3 linked regions of the Arabidopsis thaliana genome follow. The protein of the gene in region 2 binds, or shares a complex with, the protein of the main gene of each other region. Each region holds a gene or a part of one and is shown on either strand. Other genes may lie near its edges. A codon is read from its position in the direction of its gene.

Region 1 (6,056 bases), on a different chromosome or scaffold from region 2:
GAAACCAATAAACAATACTCTCCATTTCTGAAACAATAAGTGTAAAGCATCCCAGTTTCCAGATACCTTGAGACACGGATGAAACTCCGAGCTATCCCTCGATAAAAACCTGAAACAGCAATACTCCACCAAGTACCGGGCATCAGTAGATAAAGCTGGAGAAACAATTGTTTCAAATATATCCTGCATTTTCTTCCCAGTGATTCCATTCATCCTGCTTATAAAGGGTCAAAGAAAAATGAATACTTTAACAACAACCACAAAGTGAAGATGATTCAATGATCCTGTGGTTTAGATTAGCTCACCTACTAAACTGTTCAATGGAGATAATAGCATCAAAAGAAAGAAACCCTTTTGGTGTATCACTTCGAACAGTTTGTTCAACTGTAAGAAGTTCCTCCAAGTCTTCAAAATCTTGTTGATCCTCAAGATCAATCTTTTTGAGACTCTGACTCTTTTTCTTCAATGGAGATGTTACATCACTCAGAATTTTCTGTGATTTCGACACCCACTGACTAAATCGTTCTTGTACAACATCTGTCATATAAGAACACCAACATAACTCAGCAGCTGTTACAGAGAACTTCAAGAACCAGAATTCGAAGAGGAAGAAGGGTCTTACTTGTGTCGATATCGTTCAATTTCCATTTCTTCTGAGCAACAATTCGGAGTCTTGGCTTTCGATTAGAAGCACAATTTCTGGAGAAAGAGCAGCGTCGATGAACACGAACTCCATCACAACGGAAACCAATAGGAAAATCTGGAGTTGCAGAAGAAAGTTTCAATCTTTTCAATGCTCCGACTCTCTGCGCCATTTCTGTAGCTGAAAAAAAAAAAGCTTTGGAGAGAAAGAGGCGTACAATAGCAAAACACCACCCTTTTTTTTTGTTGGTCTTACTAAATTATTGCTTTCTAGTTTCATCTTTTGTGTCTTTATTCTCAAATAAATATCAAACCATGTCGACGATTCCTTAACACAATTTTTTCTGTATTATTCCAATTTAATTCATTCCCATTTGCCTACAAATTTGTGTCACACAACAGAAAATAAAAGGTAAACATCAAATTAAGGTCCATAATCTTATTTAGAGGAATACTCGGAAACATGTCCATATGAAGATCTTTTGTCAGTTCTCTTGCTCTCAGAACAAGGTGGAGTTTTCCTCTTATTCGAATGCGAATCATCATCAACATCATCATCAAAAAGGCTGAGATCCTCCACCCCAAGAAGCAAGGGTTTGCGATATTCCATAGTGAAAAAGGCTACAGAGTCACTTTTCACTGTAAACCTATATAGCTCCCATGTTGAACCATTGTTCATAGCAAAACGTGGTATAAATTTATCACGTACATAGTTCCTTCGATGCCGTTCTTTAACCAGTTTCCAAACCCCTTGGTCGGGCACGAACAGCGCGAGAAACAGCCATATGCTATGTTTCTCGCTACATGTCAAATTTGTAGGAAACATATCCGTGCGGAGCTATAGACAATAACTGACTGTTTTCTTGAAGGTTTGGTATCCCCGGACTTCCACGAAGCTCCGGATAACTAAGGCTTTCTAAGATTCTCCGCAATACTACGTCTTCAAGTGTATAAGTTTGCCATGTTGTGTGAAGTGCGTTCTTGATAAGCTTGTTGAAGATGGTCAGGTTGGCAGTACATAGCTCCTTGTGGGCGTCGTCGTCGACAGTCCCATAAGGAACACTTTTCATCAACAAACAAAGACAGAGAAAGATGATTGCCATTGTTAGCCATGTTTTAGTACCACCTATTCACGGACAACGTGAGTGCAGAGAAGGAAAGAGAGAGGGGATAGAGTTGGAAAAGATCACTAGGTTTCTGATTTCCATAAATACAATTTTTGTTTAAGGGCTTAAGATTATTCCTTTAACCCCGACGAATCGAATGGGCTTAAAAACATTTCTTTAACCAAAATCTTCTTCTGTATTATTCTCATTAGCATTATAATTCTTTACACAACAGAAAATAAATGAAAGGACAACAAATGATGGGTCAATCCAAAACTAGAAACCAAAAGAAGAGCAACTTCAATATGTAATCATAGGGTCTGGATCCGACGAGTCAGTGGGAGATTTGTTGTTGGACTGACGCATTGAGTTGAATAATTCATCTTTTATGACCTACAAGTACAACAATGATGGATTTTGAGTCTGTGAAATACACGAACCTTAAGGGAGATATGTCACCATTTCGTTTCAATATTATTACTCACCTGCGACATTAGTCCATGGACCTGTTCCACAGTTATCTTTGCGCTATCCCGAGTTATCTTAGTTAGTTGAGACTCATCCTGAAAGTGATTTAGAACACACGTCAAATGAGATCTTTAACAAGCAACACCCATTAACATTCTCGAAAGTTATATATCTGTACAACCTTCAACAACACTTTCATTTCAACTAAACAGAACACCTCCAGGTCCCAATAACCAAAACATTTGAAGATATATCCTCTTAGTAGCTAGATGTTTACAGAGGCACTTAACTAGCCACCGTAATCGCAATTAAAATTTGATGAACCACTAGGACATACCTCTTTTTTCTTATGAAGGGATGATGGCACAACTCCTCCAAAGCGAGACTGAACCAGATGACTCTCGGCTTGCTCAAGCTTCTCAGCTTCATTGGTAAAATTACGAAAACGATTATATAACACATTACTTGACTGTGACTTGAGAAAAAAAAGTAAGAGTGAATGATTTAGGCCATATCCAAGAGTTTACCTAAGTCTGATATTTGTCCAGCAACATAGTCTCCATTACCCAGCAGTGGAGAAGAAGAAAGAGTGTTCACCCAGTACTTGTTCCATAGTAGATCCAGAAGGTGAGAATCAAGAGATGACTTGAAATAAGTGACATCTAATGAATAGTACTGCCAAAACCAAAAGCCAAACATAAGAATCATGTTGGGACCTTGCACCGAGAAAAATCAAGAAAATGTACCTGTTTGCAGTGAACACCAAAGTCCTCAATCTTATTTAAAGGAATAGTTTGATACTCAGAAACAGGTTCATCTGGAGGCTTATATCCTTTAGAGTATGTTCTGAAAGCACCAATCTCAACCTTACCAGCTGAAACAGTCCTTGTGGGATCAATAACAACAGCTAAAAATGGCTCCTGATGCTGTTGGTTAAGCCTCTGCGTAGAAACATCAATACCGGAGAGCCAGCATCCATATCCAGGGTGAGAGTGATACCATCCAACAACATTCTCCAGCCGCCCCGCCTTATAAAGGTCAAGTTATTATAACCATAATCAATCAAACTGTTCTGACTTATATACAAACTTTCTAAAGAAAAAAATCAAAACTTTGAAGTTTCTTGAATCTCACTTACGAGCTTGTTGGTCTGTGAATACTCAACCATGTACTCATAAGCATCATCCTGAGCATTAACCCTTGTCTCAGTACCTTCCACTGGTAAAGCAAAAGCATCCATAACAATGATAGTATCACCATCGGTCTTACCTTGCATAAGACCCATTATTTCAATTGTACCACCAGAGCGAGCGTGAACCACCATCTTAAGAAGAGCGAGCGCTGAGATCTTGACTCGTTTAAAGTAGTGAGGATCATTCTCCCACGGTTTCTCTTGCTGGAACCTAGTCTGTGAAGTATCGTCGTAGTAGAAGATGTTGTCGGAGGTTGAATCAGGTGAGTCTACTGTTAGAATGCTGTTCTCTAGTTCCCATGTCTTCCTTGCTATCGTCGACGACGAACCCTCCATTCTTTTTCGAATTAGGAATTCAGTTGCAGAAATCTAGGGTTTCATACGGAATCGATGGAGTGTGATCGATCTGTCTGCTGAAGAATTGAAAACTGTGTCAAAAATGTTACTTCGGGGATTGACTTATATATAAGAAGAGAAAAGTGGTGAAAATTAATTCCTCTGGATTCTTCTCTAATTTAGAAATAAAATTTAAAATCCTTTTAGTTTGTTTTTTTTTTTTTTTTTTTGACGGTATTAAAATCTTTTAATTGAATAACACAAAATTTTAAAATCTATTAAACATGATTTACAAAGATATAAACTCCAATAACACTAAATTTTAAAATTGAATTTAAAATCATTAATTAAATAACAGTGTATTAGTGTTGGATTTCTTTCTATTAAAATCCATTAATAAATAACGTCCCCTTGTAAAACCGTAGATTTCTTCCCTCTTCTAAAATAATTTATTGAATTACTTCAGCTTTTCTATCAGAGTGTCAGACCCTTTGCTAAAAGAACACGTATTGCTTTTTATACAGACACTGACACGTCAGTTTTCCGGTTCGGTTTTTTTACTGGTTTGTCGGTTTGGTTTGATTTGAGATTTTGGACGGACGAGTTTACAAATACGTTATGAGTGACTATGTTTGTAATTGATTCAAAATCATATTATACTGATATTCTTATTCTCCTGCAATCTGTTGACTTTATCTTCTGTCTAATTTATGTGAGAGATGTCTAAGAAACTGTAGCTACAAAACTAGAAACCTTATCTAGCAAATGCAAAATAGCCATGATTGTCTAATTTATCTTCTCCTCTTTTGAAACTTCAGGAGCATTGAATTTACAGTTCTGCTTTAGATTCCAAGTCTTGTTCTGTATCTTCAGAGATGTCATTTGATGGAAGAGGATTAGGCTTGTCTGTAGCAGGAGCAGCTACTGGCTCGTTGAGTTCCACATCTTCACCCAAGATTTTTGCTGTGAATTTTCGTGCTTCGAGATCAAGATCGGGCCATTCGGTTACGATTCTTCGGGCACCCTGCAGAAGAACACCGCATTATAACAAACAACGCTTTGTGAGTGTTGTAGATATGAGGAAAGCCATCATTTTACCTGAAGCTTTGGTTCCTTTGTCATGGGATTATTGCAAAGATCGATTGTTCTGGCCTTGGCTTTTGTGGCGTTTCCACACCAGGATTCACACCACAACCACTCTTGGGGAAGTGAAAATATAGGAACAGTATGCTGAGCATAATTAGGAAGATCCTGAAACAAAATAATGACATGCCATCAATATGTTTGAACCTGGAACTCTAAAGATTCAGAGCATGGTGTATGGTAAGAGTCAAATGCAAAAGCCTTTCAAATAAAGTAAAACGATAGTGTGACCACCAAAGAAAGGTTACAGCCCTAAGTATAGAGAACCATATTATACAACTTGCCTGATCTAGGTTGGACAAACTGTTTGGATCCTTGCTAAGCGTCTCATAGAATACTCTTAGATTATCTCCTGCCGCTGTCTCTCGGAACTTAACCAAGTCAACAACGTATAGAGCACTACAGATAGAACAAGGCACATTAAGAATGGGAAAAGCAACAACTTACTGAGGTTCAAGTAGGTTTTTTTACCTGATATGGTATGGCCTACCACGTAAATGTTCTTTCCAGAAACCCTGTTCAAAGCAATTGAGAATGTAAGAGTATGGAAACCAAAACTACCTCTACAAGCAAAACAAAAAGATTAATGTTTACCTGTTTCCAAAATTTATAGCCATCCATTTCCCTGTTGTTGTCACAAAAAGGAGTATACGCGAGAGGTCTTCCTTTAATATCCATATCATACAGTTCTCCCATGTCTGTCCTTATAATTTGATCTGCGTCGACAAATATAACCTACAGAACACATGTCGAATACCTTATAGTGACATCTTCCAAGCATCAAAATCGCAAGAAAGAAATGAAAATATGATCATCTGTACCTTTTCCAATGAGAGAGGAAATATGACATCAAGGAAAAGAATTTTGTAGGCCCAAATAATTCGTTGCTTTTCTTTCTGTTTATGCAACCAGGACGGCCATTTGTATGTAATCAGCTCATACTCAAAGTTGTATTCTTGTGCCATATGTGGAATCACATCCTGCAAGATTAGAATGCGATACACATTAAGTTAATGTGGCTACAAGATAAGTTCACATCTAGAGATAAGAAGACATATATAGATACAAACACAAAAGGCATATGTGGAAGCAAAGAAACAAGGAGCCAACCTTAAATTGAGGAGAGAGATAATTCTTAATAAACCAGAATTTTACAGGACGATTGGTGT
Region 2 (8,465 bases):
TGATTTCTTCTTTAGCAGCACCAACCACAGTCTCCTTGATCTCTCCTTCTTTCATGAAGATAAACGTTGGCATTGCCTGAACTTTAAACTCCTCAGCAACAGTCTGCACAACAACATAACAAGCAAGATAAAGGCTCAGAGAAGTCAAAAATCCCTAAGTTTGGATATTGGGATAGTGTAAGATTGATGAAGGAAACTCACGTTCAATTCGTCAACATCGACCTTGAAGAAGACTACGTCGAGGTGCTTCTTGGCTAAGTCAGCAAAGACGGGTGCAATGAAACGGCAAGGTGGGCACCATGTTGCAGTGAAGTCTATCACAATCTGTGTCATTTCCACACAACCATATTTAAGAAAACAAGCTACACCGATCGATAATTCAAACAATAGATACGACATCGGTTCATCATTAAGATAACAAATGTATGCATTTCATGTGCTTCACAGAACATGGATAATAATACAAACATAGATACAAAATGGGTTCACTAAAGACAATTTTCATGTGATCTCTAGCAGATGATTCATAAAATTGAATATGCATAGTTGAGAGATTCACATAACATGTTTTTATCCAATGATGCTTCTATCAAGTTCTTAGGGTTTCAATTTCTGAGATTCTGGGTTCCTAAACAATCAATTAAACTATTAGGGTTCATAAATTTGACATTAAGGAGCTCAAAAATTCGATTGGGGACAATTCAAACCTAATTCTGAATCCGTCATATTCTAATCAAAAGGACCAAGATCAGAAACGATAAAGCAGCGAAATCAATCAGAAAGAAACATTTAAAACCTTAGATCGAGAGTTTTTACCAGTTTCTTGGATTCGTTGGCGGCTTTGAGCTTCTCGGTCCAATCTTCAACGGTGTGGCAAGCGATAACTTCTCCTTCTGCGGCCATTTTCTCTTCTCTGTGTTTGATTTTTGATTTGATGAGTTTTCGAGTGATTATTCTTCTTCGTCTCTGTGTCGGTTCTTATAGAGAGAAGGAGGCGGAGAGAATCTTACATCTTTTTATTATATTTTAATGCAAATGGAATAATAATAATAATTAATAAAACATGTTGTCAAATAGGAAAAGAATTAATACTCAAATTAAAAAAATGGACCAAACCACGCGGAGGAATTCGATGCCGGATTTGTTGATCTAACGGTTGAGATTGAAGAATTGCAAATCGGATTCAGCTTCTGAGGACGCGTGTAATTTATGCTCATTGAAAATAGAAGAAATTGATATATTTAGTCAAAAAGGTTATGAGATTTGAGTATTTCTTTTTATTTTTTATTTTTTTTTTGTTGGTCACATTGAATATTATTGCCTTTGGTAGTTCAGTCCTATATTTTATTTGAGAAACAAAATCAGAAAAGAATCTATAATTTGAAGCAACTTTCATATTGTAATTTGGTATTCCTATATTTTATTTGAGAAACAATATCAGAAAAGATCAAAAGAATCTATAATTTGTAGCAACTTTAAATATTGTAATAGGAAATCTTTTAAAATTTATCAATATGAAATTTGTTAATTTATAATAGGTCTTGAGATTTGATCATGTGACTTCTAAACACAAGTTATTGGGCTTTTGTTTAAGTAAAGCCCATGTGTCAAAGAAATGGATTGTTTTCCTAGTTAGTGAAATAATCTTATACACACAATTTAAAAACAATAGAGAAAATTAATGTTGAAATGAGCAGATTAATGTGGGGTTGTACATATCAAGGTGGAACTATCACAAGGAAGAACAAAGAGATATCTTGAGGTAACTACCCAAAGAAAGAGCAATGAAACCCTACCATGACAATTTGTCCAGACTATAACGAGTTAAATCATTATCATGAATTCCATACCATGGCAATTTGTTTTCTTTCAATGGGATGTCTACCATTCCAAAAAAGTTTTGCCATCAACAACCGCATCTGTTCTTTTGAGTAAATGTAATTTTGGTAAACTATGTAGTCTATAATCATTAGTTACAATATGGATCTGTAAAGTTGATTCAAAAACAATTGTGATGTTCTCGAACGGGATCACCATAAACTTCATCAAAAAAAATCCTTTAAGCGAGAGAAACTCGTGATTTTTCGAGACAACGATTGTGTCTATGAGTCTATCGTCCAACCTCATCCAATACCAATATGTTCAGTTATATCTAAGTTGTAAAGCACATAAAATCGATTTGTCAGTCAGCTCACATGTTTAAACCAAAGTCGTATTCCAATGCGAGACTTGGTTTCCTAGTCTGAGATAGGTAAATTTCTTTATATACTACCCTCTATGTAACGAGAGAGTGGTTCTTTTTTCACTTTTAATTCATGAGAGCACTTTCAAAACATTTTGCATGTCATTGCTCTCAAGATTTGGGCTCACAACTTTTCCGATGACTTCTCGGTCATATCTTGACCATTCGATCAATTTTTCGATTGCTTCTAGTCGATTCTTTCTCAACAAATAATTATTTACGTTTCCATCTTAAATTGCTCCCTAAGCTCTAAAACACATAACATATCATCTTTTTCCGATCTGGTATCATAATATTAAACGTGGTATTGTCATCATAAAATACCTCATCATCGTGTTTTCCAAATCACGACGTGTTTTTTTATTTGTGTAAAAGATTTACTGTAGTAATTTAGGCTCACATATAAAAATATTTCTAAACAATATATTATTTGTTGATTTTTTTTTTTAATCTACAATCAATTTGGTAAACTTACCATCACAAATTAATTATAAAATTTATGAACTAACAAAAAAAAATATAGTATTTATGCTTAATATATATATATATATATTTTAATTTATTTTGGGTACTAATCTCATATGAGTTGTGACCATATTAAGTAAATTTTGTAAAGCGCCTCTCCGATCACCGGCACAGAATCTAGTCCCCGTTTATTTTTTTAATATAAAAAGAGAGCAAACTCCAAAAAAAAAAAAAAAAAAAGCGAGAGAGAAATCAAAACCTTGTAAGGTTTCTTAGGGTTTCAATCGAAGCGGGAGAGAAAATCTCAGAAGAGAAGCCATGGATGAAGCTTTGACGAACGCTTCTGCAATCGGTGACCAACGCCAGAAAATCGAACAGTACAAACTCATCCTCTCCTCTGTTCTCTCTTCCAACGATCTTCTCCAAGCTCAGAGATTCATCGATCACAGTAATTTCGCATCTCCCTTCTTTCTCATGGTTTCAACTTCATAAGAGATTCGACAACTGCTTTTTGTTCTTATGGAATTCGGTTTATATCAGAATTTCTGGTTTGATTTTGATTTTTGCTTCCTCACAATTTTTCCAGTTCTTTCCGATGATGTCCCGTTGGTGGTTTCGAGGCAGCTTTTGCAGTCTTTCGCACAAGAGCTTGGGAGATTAGAACCGGAGACGCAGAAGGAGATTGCTCAATTTACTCTTACCCAGATTCAGCCTAGAGTTGTTTCCTTTGAGGAACAGGTTTGTTTTCTCTTCGTGATACCTTACTGTTTAGCAGCAATCGTGTACTTTTTAAACCCTAATTAGTTTACCTACTTAACATAAGTTGAGAGGTATGTAGAGTCGCTTTGCTATTGTACCGCTTTGGTATGTGAAATCTACACTGAAAGCTAATTTGAGATATTTGTTTACTAAGGATGCTGTATTTTGGGATAACTGAGACAATGTACGTTGTGTTGTTTTTCAATCTCTTTATTCTAAGAGATGAAACTGTTTGTGGTGTATTTGCAGGCACTTGTTATCAGAGAAAAACTTGCGGGTTTGTATGAATCAGAGCAGGAATGGTCAAAAGCAGCACAGATGTTGAGTGGAATTGATCTGGATTCTGGAATGAGGTGTGTGGCATTGAGCAGAATTTTGTTTTAGTTTCCTCTCTATGTTCTTTTGTGTTGCTTATTTTGGATTTGCGGAATTCTTTATTAGGGCCGTTGACGACAACTTCAAGCTTTCAAAGTGTATCCAAATTGCTCGTTTGTATCTCGAGGTTTGTCTTTCCCTTTCATGTACATATGCACAATAGATTCTGTGTCCTTTTCATTAATTTTTAAGCATGTAAATCGGTTATCTCTGTTTATGAGATGAATTTACGCATCGCAGTAATGATTTATAGCTAGTTTGTCTTGTTTCCTTCTGTGGGTGCGTGTCAATCAGTTACAGAAGTTAGATCTTAAAAGCACAAAAGAAACCCGTTGTTGAATGTTGATTCAATCTTCAAATATTTGGACATTTTTCTAGAGAGATTTTATTTAAAGTTAAGTCTCTTGACCAAATCTAAGTGTCATGAAATTAGGAATATCGACTGTTAAGAGCATTATTCTGCTTCACTACATCACTTTTTTATTTATTGCTTGTGAGAGTAAATTGAGGCTAGCAGAGTTGTATAAATACATTTAGTTAAATTTTTATTGTTCTCTAATACTTTTGTGTTTTGAAATTTTCAGGATGATGATGCTGTAAATGCAGAGGCTTTTATAAATAAAGCTTCTTTCTTAGTGAGCAATAGTCAGAATGAAGTTTTGAATTTGCAGTACAAGGTTGGACCACCTTAAAGTAAACTAAGAATTTATGTGCTGGGTGATTAAGGAGCATTCGTTTTCAAGTTTTAATATATTTCTGTTTCAGGTCTGCTATGCTAGAATTTTGGACATGAAAAGAAAGTTTTTAGAGGCTGCACTTCGGTATTACGGCATATCTCAGATTGAGCAACGCCAAATAGGGGATGAGTAAGTGAACTGACTTATCTTTCTGCTACATCTTTTCTTCAAATTCTCCTCTGTTGGTTTCTTGTTCGGATGGAATAATGATTAATTAATCTTCTATCCATCTTTGGAGACTCTGTATTTAAAGCTAGTTTCCTACTTTTCCCCTCTCTGTGATTGAATAGTGTTCCTCTTTTCTCTCTCCAATACCTTTGTGATATCTCATATTCTGAAACGGTTATAATGTGTTTTCTAATCTTTTCAGAGAGATTGATGAGAATGCTTTAGAGCAGGCCCTATCAGCTGCTGTCACATGTACCATATTAGCTGGAGCTGGTCCTCAGCGTTCTCGTGTTCTTGCAACTTTATACAAAGTAATTCCCTTTTGGATTACAAATAGAATACTTTCCTGCTTGCTTATTTATTGTTTTTTATTTCTCAATATCTTTCTATTAACAGGATGAGCGTTGCTCCAAGCTGAAGATTTATCCTATCCTGCAGAAGGTTCTATCTCTTATTACCTACAACTGTTTCCTCTAGTAGACAAACATACATTTTCATGCTATTGGACATATAGTATTGTTTGAACTCACATATTACTCTTGTTTAAGCCGGCATGATGTTTATTAGATTTGATTCATTATCAAATCAAACAAGTTCACCATAGCTTATAGAGGCTTGGTTAGAAATGCATGGTAACTTTTTGTTTTTTAATGCAACTTTATAGGTGTATCTGGAAAGGATTTTAAGGAGACCAGAGATTGATGCCTTTTCAGAAGAACTAAGGCCACATCAGGTATGGACTGTGAATTAAGATTTAGATGTAGTTTTTGGATAACATCTGAGTTGGTAAGTAGGTTCATAACAAGTTATTACACTGTTGATTTCAACAGAAAGCATCTTTGCCTGACAAATCCACTGTTCTTGACCGTGCTATGATTGAGCATAACCTTCTTAGTGCAAGCAAACTCTACACAAACATAAGGTATGAGATGTCGAATTAGTATCTTCTTTGTGTGTCTAGACTTGTTTGATTTTCTCAACTATTTTATATCCTAGGTTTGATGAATTGGGAACTCTGTTGGCGATTGATCCAAGAAAAGCGGAGAAGATAGCAGCTAATATGATTGGGCAAGACCGAATGAGGGGTTCCATAGATCAGGTAAGCAATAAAAAATACTTTGTTGGTTGAGCTATGTAAGAGCCCTGAAGAGAATTCTCGTTAGTGTTGATTTTCTAGAAGGAGGTTCCTAGACGTGTTTTAATATTTTATGTTACTGTTCAGGAGGAGGCTGTGATTCATTTTGAGGATGACGTGGAGGAACTACAACAATGGGATCAACAGGTTTTCTATCTCTCCCTCCCACTCTTTGTCTCTTTAGAGCAACTATATATGATTGTTTGTTTTATTGGCGTGGAATATGACTGAAAAGTGGAATCTGTGCAGATATCGGGATTATGCCAAGCTCTCAATGACATTCTGGATGGGATGGCCAAGAAAGGCATGTCTGTTCCTGTCTGATTGACTCCCAAGCCGTGAGATCGCCTCATGATGATTAATTTGTATTAGCCGAGCAACGGATCGAGTCTCATGCCAAAGTTTTTGCCAAATTGCTGTGTTTTGGGGACAGTCATTTTCACCTTATTTACTTTCTTGCAAATTCATGTCTATGTCTTTAGGTTAATTGATTCAGAGAGGAAAAGATTAGGCATTGAATGAGGATTTTTAAGAAAGTTGAAAAGAGGTTCAGGGTACATTTTTACCTCAGAACAAATTATTTTATGCATAGATGAACCTTTCTTGTGCAAGAGAATGATGAAACTAGTAGTTTTTTTTTTTTTTTTGGCTCAACAACAACTTCTCATTTACCAAACGGTGATTACACAGAGTCTGAATACACACAATCTTTTATCCAAGCCGGCACCTTTAGAATACATTTTAGGATCATAATTCAATAAAGAAAGAGATTCCCTAGCAATTCTATCTGCCACACTGTTTCCTTCACGCTTTATATGCATCACCTTCACCTCCTCAAATTGTTGGAATATATGTCTAATGTCCTGAATTCTTGGGGCCAAATTTGGATAATCAGTATCATCCCCTAACAGAGACACTAGATGTTGGGAATCTGATTCAAAGATGACTTTCTTATAGTTAAATCTTGACATTGAAAGAGCTGCCCATCTCATAGCTTCAAGTTCCACTTCCAACACTGTCTGAACTCTCGGGATTGCACGAAGTCCCAGCCACAACATTTTCCCCTCATGATTTCTCAGATGAAACTAGTAGTTACATATAACATTTTCCCATTCGTTGTTTAATTTTTATTCTTGAACGATCAAAACTTATGCGAATTTAAGAAATGATCAATGATAACAGACGAAACTGCTAGTAATAATAATGAGAAACTGTTGCAACAAAATTTCGGAAGATTCGCAAGAACCGACTAGTAAAATGTGTTGCAACACCAAACAATTGAAGTGAAACTTAGCTAAGTAGTGTAAAGAAGAGACTACATTTCAAGGTTCCATGTAGTTTCTGCGGTCAATTTCGGCGTTTTCAGTTCATCCGCAAGATTCACAGACGCACATACCTGTTGAAACAAGAAAATAAAGCCCATCAACGACCAAAACACATGGAATTTCTAAAGTTCGTAAAGCGGTAAAGCTTCTTCACGACATAGTTGTTGCTCAAAAGAAAGCAAATCCAATGTCTAAATATGATTGCCAATACACAGAACAATCTAAAATTACTGATTATGATGCAGCAAAGAATACATGAACTATCCTAACCCAAAGATGATGCCTTATTGTCAAGAAGCTATGCATCCCATGTAGGTAGCAGTTTCATCTATCAAATCAATTCTATTTCTACCAGGTTTAAGTCACTGATATCACCGTTTAACTTTAAAGAACTAAGATTGTCATCAAAATATAGTAAACGATATGAACTTTCGACTGAAAATGTTCTTTCTTACCTTGAATCCACTTGCTTTGTTGTTCCTTGACCATTCCATACCCAACAACTTACTAGACGTCTGATAAGTTGCCCTCACATTATCACCACTATAAAATCTTCGAGAAACCGCAAAATCCCATGTATTTTTCGCCAAGTCATAACACGGCTCGAACGTAGCTAACCCTCCATGAGCATAGGTATACTTAATCTTACAGTTGTTTGTCCCAACCATGTGGTTAGCAGAGAGTTTGTTTGCAGAATCAATCACAAGGCTCCCATCGACAATTGTTCTGTTATCAGCTCTGCTATGAATGTAAGTCAAATTCAAAGGCTTCTCTGCAATTCTTACTGTGTTCATGAACTGAAACCTAACATCCTGTAAACCAAAATCACCAACATAGTTAAGCACATAGATTCTTAAATGTCTGCCTGCAAATCTCTTTAAACTTGTGGAGAATCTAAAAACCCTAAACTCCAGAATCCTAAATCCTACTTCAATTCAAGCATTAGCTGCGTAATTTCTAGGTTTGTTTGCTTTGACTTGAATCCTAGGTTTAATCGTAAGCAATCAATCTCATTTCCATGGGAATTGAAAAATTTCTAAGATTTGTTTGCTTTGACTCAAATCAAAAGAGTTGTTCTGACCTTTTTAGGGACGTTGTACTCGACGATGAAGGAACCAGGCTTCTCTACAGCGAGAGCGAGACCGGTCAAAGTAGGACCGGCGACGAGAGTAGCATCGGTCATGGTGGCGCGTAGCTTAATATCGCCGGCGTTGAAAGCAAGTGAACCGATTCCACTGGTTTTGTCAGTATCGTACTTG
Region 3 (6,814 bases), on a different chromosome or scaffold from region 2:
CAATTTATGAAAGATCCTACAAAAATATTATAACTTTTGTATAAAAAAAAATTACCACCAAAATCCTAAAATTCTAGCTGGAATTTCCACATATAACTTAATTAGTTGTTTGTGTCATTAATAGAGTTTCGAAACTCTTCCTAAAACCGAAAATAGAAGAGAATCTGTTAATTGGTAGTGGTAACCATTGAAACTTGCACAAGTGTGGATCAAGTTGGATATTAAGTTACTTGAATTAGTGAAACTGCTGAGCTGAGATTTTCCATATTTTGCTGTCCATTGGTTTTTAATAATGTTAGTCTCCATGGAGAATTAGTTAATTGGTATATGATTATACTTATATGGGTTATAGCGTGAAAAAAAGAAACATCTACTTTAAGCAACAGCAGAAAGCATTAAAGAATAGATAACCCCAATTTCCGAGAGGAACGTTAGGAGAAAGTTTTTGAAAATTTACAAAACTTTCTGTTAGTAGATGCTTAATTTCATCAGTGTTTTCCAAGCAATTTTGAATTAAGGATTAATAAAATTGTTATGTATATTATGAAATAATGAAGATATTTCGCTATCTCTAGAGTCTAAAGAGATTAGCAGTTGGTGCCTTGGTGGTTGACAAAAGAAAAGAAGAAGAGATTAGCAGTTGCGTTTAACATTGGTTTTATCTAGAAAGATGAACTGATGGTTACATATAAAACTAGTCGTTGTCTGTCAGTGTCCACTAAAGACTATTTTCTTCTTTTGATATACATTTCTAAATATACAACAATATCATTTCTCCGAGGTTTGTGAATTGTTTAGGTATAAAATAGTTTTCTACAATAACTTTTGCTATCGGGTGCAAAGACATTCTACCATAGAACGAGTTTAGTATAGTGTCATTTCGTAGATTCTTTATTCGGATTGGTTTTTCAATATCAACAAAATTCTGGTTCATTTTCTTCCCTCCTATAAACGAAGGTAAAAAGAATGAAGAAAAAAGAAAAGAAAGAATATTTTGTTAATGCATTATCTAACGTGTTAATGTGTCACTTTCATTTTTCTTAATCGTTTGTTGAAAACTTTTTGCAGTTGATTTCAGGAAAACGGAACACACATATATATATATATATGTCTTTTATTTTCAATACGGACCAAATCCATCATTTGCTAATCAGTGAGAAAACTAAATCGTGGTCTACTAGTTTATATAAATTGAAAAAAGAATCATAAATAATATGTCACATATCCAACCTAAAGATTTATGTCTATACATGTAAAAATGTAAATGAGCATATTCCCAAATTTCCCACAAGTATATAGCACTACCTACACTCACGCTTCTTCAAAGTGAAGGCGATGGTGGAAAAAAGCGTAGACGATGACTTGATAAGATTGACTGAAGAAAAGAAAAAAAGTTATCATAAGTCAAAAAGCATGTCGTTAGAGTTTGACGAGATCCCATGCATGATTATATTGTCGGATACAATTGTTTGAACAATACGGTTGGAAAAATCTACCGTAATATGAAGACTTGAATGACATAACTAAAGATTGTACCTTGCAAGCCAGCAATGTGTTAATGATATGAGTAAGGGTGCAGAGGCTGCGGCTGGTGGCTACTGGCTAGTGATAAGCAATTTACGATGTAATGACAGATATATCATAGGAGACTAGGAGTTATATATGGTATATATAGAATCTAAAATAACATATTTATCAATTTACTATATTAAGTTTTATGGTTCCAAACTCAAAACTAATTGTTTATGAGTAGATTTGGTTTATATACTGTATATTACTCATATTCTATTTCCACTTTTAATGTGGGATTTCTCATAAACTATATACAGTTATATTTTTAATTAATGAAATAACAATAATACAGATTTAAATGTAGCCTTAACTATTTTTATGAAATTTAAATGAAATTTAATTTAAAAGATTGCATTCAGAATACAAAACTGTAATATTCTGTAAAATATTGATAGGTACTACTTACAACATAGGAAACATATTTAAAGATATGTTATATAAACTAAAAATAGTTTAAAATATCAATATATATATATATATATATATATATTACGAAAAGAAGAATTAAAACAGACTACACACATAATAAAATTTTAATAGTAACACTTACAAACATATCCAATAATATTAAATAAAATTAATTCATTATGATCTTTATGTTATTTCTATATACTCAAACCAAAAAAAAAGAAGTAAATGATTCAAAATCCAATCATAATTATTTTTCAAATTCATTAAAATACAAGAAATTTCATATTAAAAAAATAGATATTTCTTTCAAAGATTTATATTCAAATTATAAATATATACTAAAACGCTAAAAAATTAAGTACATGCTATAATCTTTTCCATTATTTTTCTAACAAAAGAAAGTTATATATGGGCTAAACTTAGAAGGAAAGCCCAAGAGGCCAAGACTATATAAAGATTCATGACCCGAGTTTAAGATCCGATTTCAGAATTTGGGACTAAAGGAGGACAACGACAAGCGCCGGGAAAAAATCGAGAGCGACAACAATGGCGCCTTCTTCGTCGAGCGGTCTCACGTTCAAGCTACATCCTCTGGTGATGCTTAACATATCCGATCACTTCACTAGGGTTAAAACTCAGCTTAATCCTCCCGCCGCTTCTTGCGCCACCGGGAATGGCTCCAACAACGCCGACGCGATGTTACTGCAAAACCCTAGGGTTTATGGCTGCGTCATCGGTCTCCAGAGAGGTCGTACGGTTGAGATCTTCAACAGTTTCGAGCTGATATTCGATCCTGCTCTTGATACTCTCGACAGATCCTTCCTCGAGAAGAAGCAAGAACTCTGTAAGTTTACTTACACTCGCTCACTTTTGTTGTCGATTGTTTGATACTCTTGCTAATTTGTGAGTTTTGTTATTTTTTAGATAAGAAGGTGTTCCCTGACTTCTACGTATTGGGATGGTATTCTACGGGAAGTGACGCTACCGAATCTGATATGCATATCCACAAAGCTGTGAGTAGTGTAGCTTTAATGTTTAATATAAATTTAATTGAATTTAGGATTCTCATTGTACTGATTTGTTGAGGTTTTCATCTACAGCTGATGGACATTAATGAATCTCCTGTGTATGTTCTTTTAAATCCTGCTATCAATCATGCACAGAAGGATCTTCCTGTGACTATCTACGAAAGCGGTAAAAATTGGTTATTTGCATCACTGATTGTCTTATTGTTTTATAGATTATAATCTTGCTAATCCTGTCTTTTTGATTGTTTTCAAAATTTGAAGAATTTCATGTCATTGATGGAATTCCTCAGTCGATTTTCGTGCATACCAGCTACACAATTGAGGTATGTGTTTAGGCCACTTGATCTGTAATCTATCTATGTGATATGAGAGTGGACTTTCAATAACATTGCAATGATTGTAAACGCGTGCAGACAGTTGAAGCTGAAAGAATATCTGTTGATCATGTTGCACATCTTAAGCCATCTGATGGAGGCTCAGCTGCGACTCAGTGTAAGCTTTATTATCACTTCATATTTATCATAATCTGTTCTTTCTTTTTCATCTGCATGGAATTTTAGGTTGATTCCTCGATTTTGTGCAGTGGCTGCTCATCTTACTGGAATACATAGTGCCATCAAGATGCTTAATAGCAGAATCAGAGTGCTATACCAGCATATTGTCGCTATGCAGAAAGGTATATTCTTGCTCAAGTCCCCACTCTCGGTCCCTCTTCAATTTGTTAATCAAGCTTTTGTGACCTGTCCCTTGATCTTAGAATATTTCTATGTGTTTTCCTACGGGGAAGAAAGAATTAAAAGGGTGTTAGAAGATGATTTTGAGCAAGAGTAATGTGGTACTAATGACTTATGTGATTCTGCATCTAGGTGATAAACCTTGTGAGAACTCAGTTCTGAGACAAGTATCTAGTCTGCTCAGAAGTTTGCCTGCCGCAGAATCAGAGAAGTTCAATGAAAATTTCTTGATGGTAAGTAGTACCTTACCTTTTTCTAGCAATGTTGGTTAAATAAAGTGGCCTTCGAATCTCTTAAATTCTTAATGTAGCTTGTTGTTGTGAATGATATCTTTATAAATATGATGTTCTCTTCTTTTGCAGGAGTACAACGACAAATTGCTGATGTCTTACCTAGCAATGATCACGAATTGTACCAGGTATGTGCTCGACACGCTATTCCATTTAACTATTTGAATAAAAGAATGATGGACATGCATGCAAATCTTTTGCTTGATACAATGCAATGTTTTACGATACCAAGACAGATGAAATCACCAGTACTTGGTTGAGGCTGACATTGAGATAGTTTGTTTTATTTAGATTAAGAACTAAATCTAGGACCTTGCTCAATTATCCTTGTTATAATTAAGATACTGAGCCTGTAGTAGCTAAGGGAATATAAGCTTCTTTTTAAAAAAAAAATCTAATCTTGTGCTACACCTTGACCAATCCATATGTCAATTTCATTCCAACGAAATGTCCTGAAAGAATCCTTTGTATATTTGATCTCTTACTCTCCTTTTTCCCCCCAAAATGCAGCAACATGAACGAGGTGGTTGACAAATTCAACACTGCATACGACAAACACAGCCGAAGAGGTGGTAGGACTGCGTTCATGTAAAGATTAGTTTCAATGTAAAAAAACCTTTTCTTTCTTTTGGTGGTCTGGTCCCTAAGTGAAAATTTAGAACTCTTTTAAGGCATTTCACTTTTCGGAACCAAACAAACAGCTAGGAAGCTTTTCTTCTGTTTAAGCTTTGTCTAGACAGAAGCTAAGTTTAGGCCTAACTAAATTTTGCGACAAGACTGTAAAAACAAAACAGCTTTTACCTTCTCTCAATTTTTCATTTATTCAAAAATTTGAGCAATCAGTGAACAAAGAGATTTGTTTCATATCTGTCGTAATCTACTCAACATCTCTCTGCATATCAATGAGCTCGCTGACAAATCAAGTCCCTGTTGTGGTGACACTGGTTCCACCTTCGGCTGTGCTGCTAACTGCAACATTAGGCCAGTTGGATCCCCAATGTCAGGCGCCTGCAGGCTGGTAAGCTTCTCTTGCCCAATAGTTAGACCAGGCATTGAAAGATCAGAAAGCTCAGATTGGCCTATGTAAACGGAGAAACCTGTAGGATGCCTCAGGTGTGACTGGAAGTCAAATAGAGATGAGTTGGCTGTGGCCAGTCCCTCAGATCTACTGTGTGGCATTGGATAGTGCACATTGTGGTTGTGGGTCTGAGTCGCTAAACTGCCTTGGAGAGTCCCTGAACTGCCTGCACCGACGTGGCTGCTGTTGCGTGCTGCTGGTACAACGTGGGTGTGCTTGCCTATATAAGTTGTTAGTACGCTCTTGAAGTCATCAGAGGCTCTCTCTACATGCTTCGTTACGGTACATCCATTAGCTGTGCATTTATAGTAGCTCCTGAAAACATAGAAAACTGATTTTATTAAATTCAACAAAGGGATAGCAGCAGAACAGAGCATTTGGATACAAGAACCTTGGATTCGGGTTTCCTTTAACGACTTTTTGCCCATACTTGCGCCAGCGATAACCATCATCGAGGATGTCAATGTCACTTGTGGTCTGCACCACAACTCTTGGCTCACGGCTGGCTCTGGTTGATCCACTCGTTTCTGTTGCATAAGCTTCTAGTTTCCTGATACGGGAATGCCATCAGAGCTCAGAAGTCAGAACGTCTTGTCTTTCTAAGTATTATAATGGTTACTAGAGCAACTTTTTATACCTTCTCTTTGATTCGGACTCTTCTACCTCTCCATCGTAAGTCAGGGAAACACTCATGTGGGACGTGCGATCATCTTCGTTTTCATCTCTATATAAGGCATCAGCTGCTGCATCACCATACCCGAACTGATGAGTCCCGTTTTGAACCTGCATTGATCCTGAATGGCTTCCGTATTCGAGCTCTGCAGATACAGGTGATGTCCATTCTATGTTCTCATTGGTTCCAGCAAAACCTTCGTATTCGGTTGCATCTATTTGCATGTCTTGGCCAGTACCGGATGATCCAATCCCTGACCGGCGGTTAGGTGGAGGTTTGCTGTGTATATGATCTCCTGTGTATATGATCTCTATAATATGACCTTCCCGAGACCGTTCAACCTTCTTCTTGGCCTCACAATTCGGGTGCGTGCACTTGTAATAGCTCCGCGGATACTCACTTCCTTTAACTAGCTTTTGTCCATATTTTCTCCAGTTGTATCCATCATCTGCAGGTGCACAACAAGCCATCGAGTCTCCTAAACCGCCGAGCTGTCTTTCTTCATAGTCTTGGGAATCATCGGGTTCTAAAGCGATGTTAGTAGGATCAAGGCCACTTCCTGAAATGGTTTGGAAGGCTAAGGATGTGGTAATGTCGTCAAATAACTCAGCTTTAGCCTTATCAGAAGGTACTGATGAGAGCTTCCCGGTTGTTGGAGATAGCTGAGCTTACAAATGATAAGAGATTTTAGAGCACTGATTCACGAAAGAGAGAGACCATAATGAAATGTTGAAAAGAAAAAGTTACCAAAGGGTTTGAGAGGAAAACAGGAGACTCTAACAGAGTTGCAGGACTAAGACCAGGAGAAGAGATGGTTAAAGATTTCGACTGAAGAATATCCTCAGTGTTTAACCACGGTGCATTAAACCCGGATCTCGCAGCAATCCTTTCACGAAGAGCTCCTCGTGAACTTTCTTGAAAGGTGGTTTGCAAAGAATCCTCATTCTTGATGTAATTTAAAGAAAACTCTCTACCAAGTTCCGCTTTCGATCTCTTCCTGTGGTTAGTAGTACTACAGTCGAACCATT

Evidence for each region.
Region 1: the proteins of COP8 (region 2) and CSN5B are in contact, whole or in part, in a cryo-EM structure (PDB 9IS6), measured with the Arabidopsis thaliana proteins. Residues at the interface, in NP_199111.1 of Arabidopsis thaliana: Gln368 (codon at 6,011), Trp370 (codon at 6,017), Asp371 (codon at 6,020), Ile374 (codon at 6,131), Ser375 (codon at 6,134), Leu377 (codon at 6,140), Cys378 (codon at 6,143), Asn382 (codon at 6,155); in NP_177279.1 of Arabidopsis thaliana: Lys248 (codon at 2,822), Trp250 (codon at 2,816), Val251 (codon at 2,813), Ser255 (codon at 2,801), Ser257 (codon at 2,795), Leu260 (codon at 2,786), Gln328 (codon at 2,236), Lys331 (codon at 2,135), Phe335 (codon at 2,123), Asn336 (codon at 2,120).
Region 3: the proteins of COP8 (region 2) and CSN6B are in contact, whole or in part, in a cryo-EM structure (PDB 9IS6), measured with the Arabidopsis thaliana proteins. Residues at the interface, in NP_199111.1 of Arabidopsis thaliana: Gln205 (codon at 4,679), Ile206 (codon at 4,682), Arg243 (codon at 5,034), Tyr249 (codon at 5,052), Lys250 (codon at 5,055), Asp251 (codon at 5,143), Glu252 (codon at 5,146), Arg253 (codon at 5,149), Tyr267 (codon at 5,414), Leu268 (codon at 5,417), Glu269 (codon at 5,420), Glu366 (codon at 6,005), Leu367 (codon at 6,008), Trp370 (codon at 6,017), Gln373 (codon at 6,026), Ile374 (codon at 6,131), Leu377 (codon at 6,140), Ala380 (codon at 6,149), Leu381 (codon at 6,152), Asn382 (codon at 6,155), Ile384 (codon at 6,161), Leu385 (codon at 6,164), Met388 (codon at 6,173), Met393 (codon at 6,188); in NP_567746.1 of Arabidopsis thaliana: Ser7 (codon at 2,548), Leu9 (codon at 2,554), Gln66 (codon at 2,725), Arg69 (codon at 2,734), Tyr108 (codon at 2,931), Glu159 (codon at 3,171), Ser160 (codon at 3,174), Glu161 (codon at 3,177), Phe162 (codon at 3,275), His163 (codon at 3,278), Val164 (codon at 3,281), Leu222 (codon at 3,636), Arg225 (codon at 3,645), Ile226 (codon at 3,648), Val228 (codon at 3,654), Leu229 (codon at 3,657), His232 (codon at 3,666), Lys241 (codon at 3,883), Gln250 (codon at 3,910), Leu254 (codon at 3,922), Ser257 (codon at 3,931), Leu258 (codon at 3,934), Ala260 (codon at 3,940), Ala261 (codon at 3,943), Phe266 (codon at 3,958), Asn269 (codon at 3,967).

The regions. Positions count from the first base shown.
Region 1 is NC_003070.9:26,850,248-26,856,303, reverse strand, and holds CSN5B (COP9-signalosome 5B), read right to left. Parts: upstream 3,899-6,056; 5' UTR 3,745-3,898; coding exon 3,355-3,744; intron 3,245-3,354; coding exon 2,963-3,244; intron 2,892-2,962; coding exon 2,744-2,891; intron 2,640-2,743; coding exon 2,554-2,639; intron 2,312-2,553; coding exon 2,234-2,311; intron 2,142-2,233; coding exon 2,049-2,141; 3' UTR 1,885-2,048; downstream 1-1,884. Other genes in the region: AT1G71240 (chromosome-partitioning protein, putative (DUF639)), read right to left, coding at 67-217, 306-537, 623-815; AT1G71235 (uncharacterized protein), read right to left, coding at 1,082-1,281, 1,499-1,745; EBS1 (EMS-MUTAGENIZED BRI1 SUPPRESSOR 1), read right to left, coding at 4,574-4,768, 4,843-4,995, 5,172-5,286, 5,359-5,402, 5,482-5,622, 5,709-5,867, 5,998-6,056. UniProt on the Arabidopsis thaliana protein: Probable protease subunit of the COP9 signalosome complex (CSN), a complex involved in various cellular and developmental processes such as photomorphogenesis and auxin and jasmonate responses.
Region 2 is NC_003076.8:17,235,210-17,243,674, reverse strand, and holds COP8 (Proteasome component (PCI) domain protein), read left to right. Parts: upstream 1-2,858; 5' UTR 2,859-3,025; coding exon 3,026-3,155; intron 3,156-3,293; coding exon 3,294-3,445; intron 3,446-3,715; coding exon 3,716-3,819; intron 3,820-3,907; coding exon 3,908-3,968; intron 3,969-4,425; coding exon 4,426-4,518; intron 4,519-4,606; coding exon 4,607-4,707; intron 4,708-4,948; coding exon 4,949-5,057; intron 5,058-5,142; coding exon 5,143-5,187; intron 5,188-5,410; coding exon 5,411-5,479; intron 5,480-5,576; coding exon 5,577-5,668; intron 5,669-5,742; coding exon 5,743-5,845; intron 5,846-5,968; coding exon 5,969-6,028; intron 6,029-6,130; coding exon 6,131-6,205; 3' UTR 6,206-6,522; downstream 6,523-8,465. Other genes in the region: TRX3 (thioredoxin 3), read right to left, coding at 1-103, 202-324, 817-903; AT5G42965 (Polynucleotidyl transferase, ribonuclease H-like superfamily protein), read right to left, coding at 6,550-6,939; AT5G42960 (outer envelope pore 24B-like protein), read right to left, coding at 7,197-7,277, 7,662-8,018, 8,288-8,465. UniProt on the Arabidopsis thaliana protein: Component of the COP9 signalosome complex (CSN), a complex involved in various cellular and developmental processes such as photomorphogenesis and auxin and jasmonate responses.
Region 3 is NC_003075.7:13,352,700-13,359,513, forward strand, and holds CSN6B (COP9 signalosome subunit 6B), read left to right. Parts: upstream 1-2,292; 5' UTR 2,293-2,529; coding exon 2,530-2,827; intron 2,828-2,907; coding exon 2,908-2,996; intron 2,997-3,083; coding exon 3,084-3,177; intron 3,178-3,272; coding exon 3,273-3,334; intron 3,335-3,424; coding exon 3,425-3,503; intron 3,504-3,594; coding exon 3,595-3,687; intron 3,688-3,877; coding exon 3,878-3,978; intron 3,979-4,107; coding exon 4,108-4,163; intron 4,164-4,545; coding exon 4,546-4,627; 3' UTR 4,628-4,896; downstream 4,897-6,814. Other genes in the region: WRKY34 (WRKY DNA-binding protein 34), read right to left, coding at 4,897-5,428, 5,505-5,663, 5,751-6,448, 6,534-6,814. UniProt on the Arabidopsis thaliana protein: Component of the COP9 signalosome complex (CSN), a complex involved in various cellular and developmental processes such as photomorphogenesis and auxin and jasmonate responses.